2 linked regions of the Drosophila melanogaster genome follow. The protein of the gene in region 1 interacts with the protein of each later gene in a pairwise test. Each region holds a gene or a part of one and is shown on either strand. Other genes may lie near its edges.

The links. The genes of interacting proteins can lie anywhere in the genome.
Region 2: the proteins of NimC3 (region 1) and CG34324 interact in a two-hybrid assay, tested with the Drosophila melanogaster proteins (one large-scale study listed by BioGRID).

Annotation. Positions count from the first base shown.
Region 1 is NT_033779.5:14,017,177-14,024,619, forward strand, and holds NimC3 (nimrod C3), read right to left. Parts: upstream 3,033-7,443; 5' UTR 2,988-3,032; coding exon 2,313-2,987; 3' UTR 2,181-2,312; downstream 1-2,180. Other genes in the region: bgm (bubblegum), read left to right, coding at 859-1,450, 1,510-1,833.
Region 2 is NC_004354.4:13,454,509-13,462,202, forward strand, and holds CG34324 (uncharacterized protein), read right to left. Parts: upstream 3,156-7,694; 5' UTR 3,104-3,155; coding exon 3,094-3,103; intron 2,999-3,093; coding exon 2,205-2,998; 3' UTR 2,026-2,204; downstream 1-2,025.

The DNA.
Region 1 (7,443 bases):
TTTTACATGGTTCACCCAGCTTTTCGGCCAGCTTCCTGGCCAAGGAAGCCATTGAGGGCCATTAATCATTATATTGAAAAAAGCGCCTTTTAAAAGGAAAAGAAAAATACTAGAAAACAAATTGGTTTAGCTGGTTTAGTTTAGTGTGCTCGTAAAAATTGTTACTTCACTTGGCAACATTTTTTTTTTTTCTGTGTACATGTGTGCCGAGTTTCGGTGTCCGCTAAATTATGCAAGCCAAGCGGGCCGACAGCGCTTCTTAAAGCGAAAATCACTGACAACAACATTACTCATACGTCACGTGGAACAGCTCCCGCTGCTGTTGCTGCTGCTCCTGCTGCTGGTGGTATGTACCAGAAAATAGAAAATGCACGAGGAACAGGACCACGACTAGGAGCAGAGCCAGGACACGCCATGCGGGCACGTCCTCTTAAGTAAAAGCGGGTGAATGGAGAGAACTTCAAGGGAGAAGTGTAGAACTAATAGGGAGTTTCGTTTAAGTGCAGATACTTTTGCAGTGACTGGAGCATTGGGAAACCCAGCAGGCGGTCCAAAATCAAGCGAAAATTAAAAGTAATTGAGGGAAATTTAAAACGAAAGCTTTCGCAATTTTACAAACTATTTATTAATAACTAATAGAATTTATTGCTGACAGAAAATAGTTAGACGAATTCGAACGACTAATTGGCATCATGCTATTGCAGGTGCATTTTGTAATCCTTTGTTTATTGATGTGCGACTAATTCGCAAACACCACACATTCCATTACACATACCCACAATAGCTAACCCCAAACCTTGAACAAAAACTCATCAGGCAACAAAGCTAATTAAACTTTTTGAACACAACTTCTCGCAGCAAGAGCTCCGGGGGATTCCGGTACAAGATTGCCAAGTCGCTCATCATGTCCAAGGTGAAGCAGGCCCTGGGCTTCGATCGCGTCCTTACACTGGCCAGTGCGGCAGCTCCCATGTCGCCGGAGACGAAGAAGTACTTCCTCAGTCTGGACCTAAAGATTGTCGATGCCTTCGGCATGTCAGAAACGGCCGGTTGTCACACCATCTGCCTTCCCGATTCCGTGGGTCTGAACACAATCGGCAAAACTTTGCCCGGCTGCGAGTCCAAGTTCATCAACAAGGATGCCAACGGTCACGGAGAGCTGTGCATCCGAGGACGTCACGTTTTCATGGGCTACATCGACAACAAGGAGAAGACCGAGGAGTCGCTGGATGACGACTGCTGGCTGCATTCCGGTGATTTGGGATTTGTGGATGACAAGGGTTATGTTTCACTGACGGGACGATCCAAGGAGATCATCATTACCGCCGGCGGCGAGAACATACCGCCAGTGCACATCGAGAACACGATCAAGAAGGAGCTGGATGCCATTTCCAATGCCTTTTTGGTGGGCGAGCAGCGCAAATATCTCACTGTTCTGATCACCCTAAAGGTGAGTCTTCAATCGAATCCAATTGGTTGGAAAGTATTTAATTGTTTTTTGATTTCCAGACCGAAGTGGACAAGGATTCCGGTGAGCCGCTGGACGAGCTTAGCCACGAGTCCTCCGTGTGGGTGAAATCGCTGGGAGTGGAGCACAAGACCGTATCGGATATCCTGGCCGCAGGTCCCTGCCCCAAGGTGTGGAAGTCCATCGAGGATGCCATTAAGCGGGCCAACAAGCAGTCCATTTCCAATGCCCAAAAGGTTCAGAAGTTCACCATTCTGCCGCACGACTTCTCCATTCCCACCGGCGAACTTGGACCCACCCTAAAGGTTAAGCGCAACGTTGTGTCCAAGATGTATGCCGATGAGATCGAGAAACTATATGCCTAGATTTCTCACTGCAAGATCGAAACCGATGATAGCCGCGGAACTTGAGCTTTAATGTGAATTTGAATTTAACGGACTTCCAAGCCAATTGAGTGCCACTTTTAATTTGATTTAGGCTGATGTTAACTGTTGGATATTAAACTAAGAACAACTATGGCCCTATGCCTAGGTAGACACGAGCTTGCCAACGATTAGGTCCAGAGATCATTTAATTAGTAACTAAGTTTTATTTTTTATATACTATTTGGTTGTACCAACTGAACAAACGAAAATTGTTTATTGTCTGAAGAGCAACAATAAATTTGTAATTAGATTAACTACCATTTCGGTTGTGATTACTTCAATTGCTTGTTTCAGTATCCTTAGCTTTTGTTATTAAAAAAAATTAATTCACTTTATTAAACATCTCAAACAGTTACATGGCTGATTGATTACCACTGGAGATTCAGATTGGTTAGAAAATGATGCATTTACTCTGAAACTTATGATTCCGGTTCGTTGGCCGCCTCCTCTTCTGCCTCAAGTCCCTTGGCGAGCCGCTCGGCGACACGCTGCATCAGCTCCTCCATGCTCATCTCGATCTGGACGCAGGCACGTCGTCCCGGATCAAATCGCTGCTCATGGCCGCACTGCACCCGTTCGCAACGCAGGCTCAGGCTGAACCAGCTGCTCGCATCCTTGAATCCCGGCCAGCACTCGCACTCGTTGTGGGCCACACAATGGCTGTGCTCCGGACAACCACCCTGGCAGACAGGTCGACAGATGAGCTGGTGGCCAGTGGTGTGGTGGTGCGATGGCTCGTAGCCCCGCTGGCAATGGCAGCGATCCGGCTCCGCACAGTAGCTGTGGGCGGGGCACGCCTCCTGGCAGACTGGCTCACAGAAGCCAAAGAGAATGGTTCGATATCCCGGGCAGCACACCTGGATGTTGTCCCAACGCACCCGTTCCTCGTACACCACATAGCTGTCCAAGTCGATGGGATGGCTGGCATTTGGAGGACCTGCACCCGCCATGCGCGTCTTGGCCACGGGCACCTGATACTTGACACTGATGTTCTTCTGGCAATGACCGTTGGTGATGGCCAGGCTGCTGACCTCCACCAAGTGGATCGTCATCAGGACGAGGACCAGCATGGGATACAGCACTTGTTGCAGCATTGATGCCATTCGCTTCGGTCTGGGTTCTTCAAGATTGTGCGTACGTCGTCGCAAGTGCACTAAACGCAGCAGCCGCAGATTAAAGAGAACCCCAATCCCGATTCTTCTGTTGCTGCTCACTCGGAAAAAATGTGGCATTCCAAAAATTAATCAAAGAAGCTTAACAATAAAATGTGGCTTCAGTTTCATGTGTATATTACTTCAACACATACAGATACAATCTGTGATTTTCTAAACGTTGTAGACTTTATATTACGACCTGTAAAGGTTACTGAAATACAACGAAAATTCTTATTCATTGGAAATAATTAAGAAACTTTCCAGTATCATAGCCAATGTTTATATAACGGAAAACTCACAAACTATAGATATACAGTTAAGTCGCACTTCGTTATGGCTGATATGACTATCCTTTATTACCTTTATTGGTAAATTAGTATTAAAGTTAATAATTCATTCAGTTTTTTTTTGTGTGTGCATCGTGCCGTTCGCAGTCTTAAAAGTAATAAGTATGATAAGTCAGTCTGTGGGTCTGCTATTATTATTTCTTTTTGCATCGCCCGCCGTTCTTATCAACAGCATTGGAAATGTACCAAGACGACCGTTTGGAGAGTGGAGAATCGGCCTTGGGTCGAGCATGTTGGCTCTGGTTGCAGGTGGGTTCGAGACGATCTCAAGAACATGAAATAAAGTATCTGTAACTCATGCGAATAGATTGATGCAACATGCTGGATATTCCCCTTACTCGTACATTAAAGGGGTATACTAGACCCGCTGAATGTTAGCTATGGATGGAACGAATGAATGGATCCTTAAGCCATGTATATCATATATTGTATATTCTTCATTATGATTAGATCTGGTTATTATAAATTTAAAAGAAGCAATATAATTCGAACATACGTAACTATCATCTACACGAAATCAGCTGAGCAAATGAATTTCTTCAAACTGGTTCTAAGTTTAAGCATGCGTATGTAAATACTTCTGCGTCTGCTAACAAGCTCTTACTGCCAAGATTGTATGAACGCATGTAATTACACTAGGGAAAAACTGAATTCGTTTAGAAAATAATTAAATTAATAAAAAAGCTAACATTTAAACCAAGTAATAATAATATAACCTATTTTATAGAAAAAAAGTTTACAAGGGAATGCAAATGAAAAAGTATTGTAAACAGACATCTTGATTATTTACCGCGAATATATTTAAATTTTAGCTATAAATATACAAAATATAAATTATACATAATGCCAACCACGTTAATTTAATTTTTACATACATATGTCAAAATGTGATATTTTTGAGCATTTAGTTTAAATATTAAAGAAGTTTAATTAGCTAGAAAAATACAAATTATATTCAAGTATTTAAAGCTTAGAATTTATTTATAAATAAAAGTGGCTGATTTTAATTTTTCCAAGTGTAAAGCAACATACAACTCGACAGCAAGTCCGTGCTCGTTGGCTAGCCGAGCTCTGATGGATATGCGGATGCTTTCCGTTGCAGAGAGTACGGTTGCTCGGGGTGTACCCATGAGTCTATGGGGCATACGGGTGGCACGGTAGAGTTGTATGTGCCGGGCGGGTTTTGCATATGAGCTTTGTGCGTTTGTGTTGCTCGATATATACAAATAAACATAAGCAGCCAGCAGGCGAGCAGAAACGATTAGCAGGCCGAAAGAGCAGAGGAGCGTGTATGTGGTGTGCAATGCTCGCATGTTGCTGTTGTTGTTGTCCCTGCGACGGCATTGTGTAGTTATGGGTTGTAGGAGTGGCGGGGGGTTGGCCGGGTTGCGGGACGGTTAATGTTACCCCATGAAAGCTAAAACGGTAACGGGCGACGTTCTCACAAATTCGTAGGTATGTAACGTACACATGTTTACATACCCGTCTATCTACATTCTCCACCGTGTGTGTGCGTGATGTGTGTGTGTGTGTGTGTGTGTGTAATGAGCAATAGCACACGAAAGCAAAAAACCAGAAATGTAATAGACGACGTCGAGGAGAGTGTTCAAATATGCAAAGCTGCACCGCAAAGAAATAGAAAAATATAAATAAAATTAGAAAAATGTTTAGGTACTTTAATGCCGAAAACAATAGCTTAAAACGACTCTTTAATAAATGCGACCAAGACACTTTACTTATATTATTACTTATTAATATTATATGAAAAACAAATGTGAATTTGTATTATGCTTAACTTTTCATTTTGTCATATTATTATTAGTATATTTATAACCAGTTTGCCTTGTTTCTCTCTCTGTATGAACATGTGAGTATGTACTACATATGTAATGCCAATCAGCATGTGTGTTGTTGTTGTATGCCGGCCCTGATGACGTAGCCACAACAACCACAGCGAGCTCAGCAGAGCAACAACTTTATTTGTTGTGATTATCGGCTGGCGGCGTTTAGCGAATCGCCAACAGTTGATGCCAGAAAAGTAAGACAAGTGTATGGCACAGTGGCGGTCAAAAAAAAGAGCATACCCTGTGAAAAGTTGTGCCGTGTTCCAAGTTTCAGAAAATTAATACAAATAATGGTGACATAAAGCAACTCTTAAAAAAAGAATCTAGGTTATATACAAATTCTATTTTATAGGATTTGAAGGAGCTAGCAAGTTAATATAAATTTGCAAGTGAGAGTTTTATTTATTTTACAACGAAATATACAATTTTATAAGAATATTTTTCATTGATTTTTTCAGATATTGTACAAACACATTTGGAAAAAGAGTATTTTGTTCTCAATTGACCCCGATATTGTTTTATTTTAATAGTAATTTTTATAAGAGAAATGCAAAGATAGCAAGTGAAAACGTTCCGCTCCACTTGAAGAAATTACAAAAGTCATTGATCATTTTCCATGATCAAGCAGAGGGCACAATCTCCGCTCAATTAACACCATTGTTCATCTAGAAGTGACTTTAGAATTTTCCACTGATCAACAATGACGACAGAAAATCAAGGCATCCCAATCGAAAGGGAGAGTTCGACTCCATATACGGTGCGTGGATGATGGCTGATAAGGCGACGCCGCATTCGATGATAGTGTCAGTAATGATGACTACACTACATGGGGTGCATCTATGCATGGCCCGGTGCCGTAGCACCGACTATCTCCAGGAACTTATCAGCACAAATGCACTCAAGCTGAACTTGTGACACTGCTGACGACAGACTCGAAAAGGGGGTCAACGTCGTACATTAGTTCTTGCTTCACAAATGCATACTAAAGTGCAGATGAGTTTGCATTTTTCTGCTAACTTCTAGTTATTATCACGGTTGTCACCCTACAAATGAATTAAATTGAATTTAAATATTTCGGGGATAAGAAAATTTGAAAATTAATTGTAGATTATTCTAATAATACTCGTGAATTCAAAGGTCAGCAAAGATATATTTTATAGTTAAATAAAATATCAGAGTTTTTCTCTAGTCTGCCTCACTTAACATTTTATTGCTTTACAGACAAACATTTTTCACATCAGAAGGGTATCTAGTAGCCGATGTATGTACTCTTGCGGTTTTCTAGACATGCGACAATTTCGTCGCCTGGACATCGATCTTTGGCAAGACTTCTCATCATTTTCGTGCTAATGCTGGCATTAAAAACAGTTTTAAATACCGGTTGCCATATTGTAATTGCCACTTATGCGGCTGACCAGTCGGTTCCGATGGAGGGGCAAAGATATAGAACCAGAATCGGGGAGAGCGAGTAAGACAGAGAGCGAGAGTGAGCGAGGTCTGGGTTGCGAGTGTTAGTTGGGGCGGGGTGTATAGAAATGAGTTTGAATGAGTTGCAGGAGACATACCGATGTACATATGAACATACCGATGTACATACTCGTGCATACCCGTACTGGTTCGCATGTATGTCGCTCGTCCGCTTGTTTGTCAATATGTACAGAGTACACATGTTATTTGATTTTCGTTTCGCTTTTTATGTCTGCGATGTGCTGTGGCTGTTGTTGTTGCTTTTGCTTTTGCTGTTGGTACATGAATATAAATGCTGTTTATCTCTGCCTCCCCTTTTCCGCCCCACCAGCACCCCCTCCATGTGTGCCTGTGTGTGCGTGTGTGGCTCGAGTGTATATGCACGAATGTGTTTCCTTATTGTTGTGTGTACTTGTTTGTTTGCTGCTAGTTGATATTGTTGCTCTTGCTTGCTGCTTTGCTCGCATGAACTTTTTGCTTTGGCTCGGCTCTTTCACGCCTGCTAATCAATGCTGTGCGCCGGGTGTTTTTGCTATATCTATATGTACACAAACAAATCTACAAAAGTCCCAGACATGTGCCTGCCACCACCACCACCCATACGCAGCCCATCGCCCAACGTCCCTGCCACGCCCACAGCCCGCACATTAGGTCACTCGATGGGCGTGTAAATATGTACAGAGCATATTGTTACACATGCCGGACGGATCGGTTGAATGGCTGAGGAGGGCTTGCATA
Region 2 (7,694 bases), on another chromosome or scaffold:
ATGGACACCCGGGGTATCTATGTTTGTCCCCATGGACGTATGCGTGTTTTTTGTTTTGTTTTGTTTTTTTTTCAATGCGTGTGTGTGTGTGTGTGTGCGTGAGTGAGGGGGTGGCGTGAGTCTGAATACGAATGCGTTATATGCGCCCAACTGGGCAAAAACAATTCGCGCGCCACTTTGCGCCATAAAAAAGCGCGGAGATATTTAATACATATACACTGGGTGACATAGATATATGCACGTAAATGGCGAAAGCTGAGCGCAACGCAACCAAAAACCCATTTTTGCATTTAAAGTTTTGGGCATTTTATTGCCACGGCCCGTTTTGCGGGTAATGGCAAAAAGTATCCTTAGCCGAGGTCCTGCCATGTTGTTTCAATTTCGTCTCTCGAATTTTTTCCGTCGCCTGTTTTTTTTTTTTTTTTTTTGAGCCTTATTTTCCTTCCTTTTGCGGCGTTCGTCGAATGCCCCAGTGAAATATGATAAAAGTCAGACGCGACGCCACGTGGTTCTCGGCTGCGGCGCTTTGCGTTTTGATTTGTGTTGCTGACCCAAAAGAAAAAAAAAAAAGAAAAAAACCAAAAATAATAATAATATTATACGTACAAAGGAGCAAGAATGTAATACATAAAAAACACCGAACGCAGCGACGAAAAAAATGCAGTTTTTAAGTGCACTGCTTATATTTCTTGAACCTTAAACATATTTTCCCTAGAGCATGTCCATATAACTAAAGGAAATAGTTTGTTTCATGGTTATGCAGTAAATGGGTTCATTACTTTTCATTTTAAGATGCACCTTTCTCTTCTAAGAATACAATGAACTTGAGCACTTTTATAGTTATTATTTTTAGTATTTTCCTACGCCTTTGTTGGTTTGTGGGGGAAAAATACCTGCAGATATTAGCAAAAAAGAAAAAAGAGAAAATCATTTTCAGGGTAAAAACACGTGAAACATTGCATACGAACGCTGGAAAGACAAAGCGTTTTTGTGAAATATTTAACTACTTGCCACACTGGCATGCCTTTACATATAACGCATTTGTTCACACTAATTATATGAAATGTAAGGGCAGACTCGCGTCTCGTTTTTTTTTTTTTGCAGTAAGTATTTTTTTATGTGGGATTTAAGTAAAGTTAAAGTTCTTTCGAATCGTTCGCAGCATATTTTCGTAAGCCATACATTTATGAAGACATTTGCGCAATTCACATTTACGGAAATGCGAGATATACATCAGCGTATAGTAACAATTTGAAGGAAAAGCTACAACAAGCCATGAATAACCATCAAGGACTATTTTTCCCTGGCTGATTTAGTGACTTGGGGAGATTTCCGCGAGATTTTCCGGGCCCACTTGGGAACCGCCAACGTAAAATATCAAGGATGCTTATCGACAAATAAATTCTTTGCCCTGTCAAATGCCCTGCACCATCACCAGCACCATGGTCCACAGGCCACAGTTCACAGTCAATGTGGGTGGCACAGGCTCGGCGGTGGTATGTGGCAGGATATAATAAATAGCCTGACATAGTAATGCCACACAGACACTAACTCACAAATGTCGCACTGTTATTGCTGTTGTTGTTGGCCCTTCCAGTCCTCGACCGAAAAGTTGACGCCTATAAAACGGATATGGATGTGCACCAAACTGTGGCATACTTTTCTGACCCCCACCCGACCGAGTGGCACTACCACCATCCACTACCACTTCCACTCGCAGTCGATGTCGCTCCAAAAGTGTTGACAAATTTATGAGCTTGTTTTGCTTTTTCGCAATTTTTGTTCGGCTGATTGAAAGTTTTCTTTATTTTGCCTCCGGGCAAATTGATGACAATTGGAGAGCGGGCCAGACAGCTTAATCGTTCGTGTTCTATATTTAGCTATATATTAATAAAGGCTTTGATTGATTTCGAAAGTAAATCAAAGGGCCGACACAGCTGCATAGTTCAAATTGATCAAAGTAACCCTGTGCTGGCAATATTCGGTCACACTGTTTTGCACGCAACTAATGTTCAACTCAAATATGAATGCTCACTCTTATTTATTGTATAATCGGTGAAATATTTACTTTATTGCTTTGGCATAGTTTACAATTAATTCACACTTGCTTTGCTTCTATGTTCTTTGAAATAGTGAAAAAAAAAAAAATTCTTTAAAGCCAATTTGCTTTGCTTGTGCGCATGGCCACATTGGCAGCAGCAACATCAGTTGCGCCTGGCGTCACAGTTGTTGACGGTACTGGCCAGTCGGCAGGCCTTCAGCTCGCGATCGAACCAGTAGCCGTTGGGGCAGTTCTGGCGCTTCGACCTCTGACGGTTGCACACGTAGTAGCGGCGACAGTGACGCACGTCGGCGAGGAAGGTTCCGTCCTCCTGGCCACGGCAATCGTGGCGCGAGATCAGCACCTGGGCAATAGCAACTGGATTGTCTATATCGGGCTGTTCTTCATTTCCGTCGACAATTGGCCCAGCGTTGTCGCTCTTGGGTGTTGTGCAAACGGTTGTGGTGCAGGGCTTGGTGGTGGTGCACGGTGGGGTGCAGGGAGGAGTGGTGGTGCATGGAGGTGTCCTGGTGCAGGGGGGTGGTGTCCTGGTGCATGGAGGAGGTGTCCTGGTGCATGGAGGTGGTGTCCTGGTGCATGGAGGTGGTGTCCTGGTGCATGGAGGTGGTGTCCTGGTGCACGGTGGTGGTGGTGGTGGTGGTGGAGGTGGTGGTGGTGGTGGGCACGTTGTAGTAATGCACGGAGGTGGTGGTGGTGGGCATGTTGTTGTGGTGCACGGTGGTGGTTCTGGTGGTGGGCATGTTGTTGTGGTGCACGGTGGTGGTTCTGGTGGTGGACATGTTGTTGTGGTGCACGGCGGTGGTGGTGGGCATGTTGTTGTTGTGCACGGATCCGGGGGAGGAGTACACGGTGGGGTATCGGCTCTAGGCGGATGTGCCAAAGCCTCATGACCGCCGGCGATAGTCGCCAAAACTAATCCAATCAGCAGCAAGTGGTCTAGGATAAAGCACAAAAAAAAAAAAAATAAAAATAAGAAGAAACTCCTTGTTTTTTTTTTTTTTTATGGAGGATCTTGGATCGGAGCTACCCACAAACTCTCATGTTGCGTTCGATAATGCCTCTGCAGTTTCAACTTCTCTGCTGGTTAGCGAATGATGTTAGCTGCACTCGGGGCTCTTTTTATATCGCCCAGTTGCAGATTTTATCTGGCTGTGGAACAGGGAAAGCACTTGAGATCTGTTGAGTGGTACATGGTCCATGATCCCCGAGGTTCTCGGCACTCTGCTAATTAACCAAAATTGGTCTGGTTGTAGGTTTTGGGGTATCGTGTTTTGTTCATGTAAGCAAAATGTTTTGTTTTTTACTTCGCAGTTGTTTTATTTTTTGCTGTAATATAATACTTATTCTTTGAGGGGAAAACAATCATGCTTAATGTTCGTTTTCAAATATATATTGTTACATATGTCATTTTTTAGACTTAATACTGTGTTTTTTTGAAAGAGTTTTCCCACAGTGATCTCCATTCGAACATACACTGATGGCATTGACATTTGGCCCGGTTCATTTGGCCATTCCGTACGCAATCTGTAAAATAGTTGAAATTGCCTGTTAACTGATTTCGCAGGCCCGGCCCCCCATTTGCTTTCTGTTCCTTTTTTTTTTTTTGGCAATTGCTTCTTGACTCCGGGCCAGTGCAAACAAGAGATTTCGGTTTATGGCCCCGGACCGGAAGTGTTAGGCCAAGTGGCCATGTGGCCAAGAGGCCATGTGGCCAAGAGCGGATGAGTGGACAAGTGTTGGCCATTTGGCAGTCGATAAAAATGGCAAAGAGCCTAAGGGGGCATCTGTGTGTGGGTATGCGTAATAATTTCGGCATGAAAACCTCCGCATTGCCACTTCCGCCCCTCGGAAAGTCCACCTTGCCTGCAGCGCGGTTGTGAAAACAAAAAACAAAAAGGACCACCATATCCCCGTGTGTCCCGCATATCCTGGACAGCTGGTGGTGTAGGGGGGGCGTTGAAAAGCGCTGGACAGTTGGCAAAAGTTTTGTAATTAAATATGGTTGTTGCAGTTAAGATTTATGAGCGATTTTTATACCAATCACCCAGTGATAGAGAAGTTTACTGGGCCAAGCGAACAGCGATTCATTTTAAAACAAATTCAAATGTAGCACCTATTTTTGTTTAGTATATCTATACATATTTTAATTATTTATTTTAAAAATCTGCTATTGAGCTTTCTCTTATTTATTCACAATTGAATCAAAGCATAGCAATATGACATGGTTTCAAATCTGTCCACATTCAGCTCCATCACGTGATATCCTTGATTTCACCACCCAATCGTGCCCTTTGAACCCTTGCACTGCGATCGTAAATAATTATTTATTTAAACAGTAGAATATTTCCAAACGGCATAAGCAAACAGAATCAATTGTTGTCGCATGGCGAATATTTATGCACGCATTTATATTCCGACATCTGTTTTCGGATTTCGGAGGTGCCCTTTTCAGACTCCTTTTTTTGTTTTACAATTTTTGAGTTGGGTATTGTTGAAGCTGCGAAATGATGTGCATTGGATTTTAATTTATATTCAAAGTGTGGGGAGTGCTTTACAGCCCGCATAAGCCCCGAAAACTTTCAATCGTTATGGTTCAATTGGATTGAGTTAAATTCACTTTGTTTCATTCACTTAGCACTCGTAAAGCTACACCCTCGCCAACAAACACGACTTGGCCATTTGCCGGGCAAAAATTACTCATACGCAGCGTGTGATGTGAATATTAAAAAGCAGCCAAGTTTATGATAAATCCGCCTTTCTTCATCTGCCAGTGTGCTAAAGTGTTTATGTACGCTTTTATATATTTATATAAAGATATATATACATACATACATATATATCTAAATATATGAAGTATATGCGAATAGTTGGCGAAACAATCTCAGATTATGAATGAACTTTGGCCAGTTTGGTTTAGGCGGAGATATGCACAAAATAGTTGAGTTTCTTCTAGATTATGAATGAATCACTTTGCGGCTAAAAAGTTCGCTGTGATTTAGGCGATAGTCGAGCAAACTTTCCAGACGAGAAAGTGGCCCGAAACTTTAAGGAGTTTAATCATTACCAGGGTCTTAAGATTATTTCACTCTTTTGTTCGCCCATAAACTTCAGATTGGTTTTGAAGCATCTATAATAATTATACGTTCACTTAAAAGCTGCTGGAGCAGAAGTAAAAGTTTCCCAGCTTTCTTTCCCATTAAAAACTCTGGGGACAAGCGGCGAGTTCTCGATAAGTTAAGTAAAATGTACAAAATAAAGCGAATGGCATTGGCTCAAAAAGTTTCACCATTGTATCGTTTTTTATAATCCATTAGTCCCCGAAAAGAGTGCATTTTCTGCCTCTACTACTGCATATCTTATCGAGTTACGTTGCAAATTGAATTAAAAATATATATTTTAAGCATTCATGCATTTTTCCGGCAGCTCACACACACACGACAACCGAATTATTTACCCTGCTGCTAAAAGTGGCAGCCTCACCTCGGCCTTTTGTCAGGTTTTCGAGTGGAGACTTTTCAACTTATCTCTGACCATCTCAATGAATTAGTCGAGCAACATAAATTAAGCACTTAGCTGTTGTAAAGTTTTTCCTTAAGCGGAGGCAGCTTCCTTCGTAAAAGATGACCTCGCCCAACAGAAGACAAACAGAGACACGGCTCAATGGAAATGCCCTTCTTTCTTCTCACACACACTTGCCCAACCACCAGACCGAGATGAAGAATGGGAAATTAAATTAAGCACACACTCACACACACACACATGACTGTTTGTCCAAGGAAGGATTGGATTTAAGGACTGTTTGTGCAAGGACATTGTATCAACAATTTCCAGGGCTCGAGACTCTGTGCTACGGGGCATTGTAAAACTCATTAGTGAAGTGACCGGAAATCTTATGAAATCTACAAGAAAAAGTAAGAACCAAAGTAACAACGAAACCGAAAATAAAATACAAGCTAAAAGTCTTACGATCACTATGGGAAAAATATATACAAAATACAAATACATATATATATATAGTAACGATCATTTTAGATATCATTATACAAAGCTAAATTAAGCGAAAACCTAATCATATATCGCAATTATTTTTTAAAATGTGTAGAATATTAATCAATGAAATTTTGTGAAATTTTTTTTTTAGGGTTCTTACTCGTGTAAAGTGTTTTGGGAATAGTTTATGCTATGTTTTTCTCTCCGTGTGGACGAGAACTCTTCAGGATGGTCGAGTGGGTGGTGGCCTGTGACAGGTTGGAGCAGTCATGCATGTACTTCAATTTTTCAGCAGAAATGAGTGCACATTTGACAAAACACACACTCGCTCACACCTTTCGGTGAGCCCTGGAGCCAGAAGGCGAATCCCTGCAGGACATATGTCCTGTTCCCAGTTCCCAGTCCCTTGTTCCTTGTTTCCCCTGTCTCCTGTCCCCCGTACCATATCCACTTTACATGCTTTTTTATCAGCTGCCGCTCGGAGCGGGCCAAACTTCAGGCACGAAAATATATGAAAACTTTGCACAAATATGTCCTGTCTATCCCGTACGTGTGTGTGTGTGTGTGTGTGTGTGTGTGCGTGCCGCTGTCAGTGTATGGGTGTGTCTATGGTAGCCTAATTCCTGCTCATATTTTATAACAGCAGCAGAATCACTGCATCGGACTACACGGTTTTCTGCCAAGACAGCAAAATAGACCAACAGACAGCGGTACAGAAAAAATAAAACTATGAAAGCTGCAAAAACAAAAAAAAACAAAAAATGGTAAAGATCCGAAAAAAAACCTGTAAACAAGACAGACCTGGACAGGAAACAAACTGTGTGGGAACTACGTGCGCCACGGGTATGGGTTAAAATCGGGCGATGACTGAGCCGAATGAGCTGTAGTGGGTTAAGAACATTTACAAAATGAATGTTAGACGATTTATCTTGAGTAACAATAAATATCAATAGCAAAACTAACAACAAAGACCTTTAAACAGTGATATGCAACAAAAAAAAAAAAAAATAACAATGGCAGACTAGAAAGAAATGACATGAAACATTTATTTAATAATCCGCTTTGGATTTAATCATACTGAAATATTAACAGGCTACGAAATTTTCATTTAAATCGTATGAAAATTTAATTTTGTTTTATTTGGCCCAACAATTTGTTTTGAATCTATTATGCAAATCATGGTTTTTTTTTCTACTAAGCTCTAACAATTAGTTGACAAAGTGCCGATACAATTGCACTGAAAAAATGCAGTGGCTTGAAGTTGTAATTATTAAATAGCAGCTCGTTCAACTTCTAAAAATACTCTATTGTTGTACTTCATTTTGTTTTCATACGCAATTTTTCTATGCTATTTATTATTGGCAACAAAGACTTTCGACCAAAGTTTCGCTGAAAATTGCCATGAAAACAAACGCAACAATAGCAATAAAAAGCATAAAGAAAATATTATATTTCCTAACCATACATAAAGGTATGTACAATATCTACACATACATACATACATACATATTCAAGCGCACTTTTGCATGGCCAAAGTTTGAAGAACTTTTCTTCCAGGCCGGCCACTCCCACTCCCTAGCATTGCCGCCCACCTGCAGCCGCTGCCCCGGCCACGCCCCTTTTTCCCACCAGCAAGCCTTGC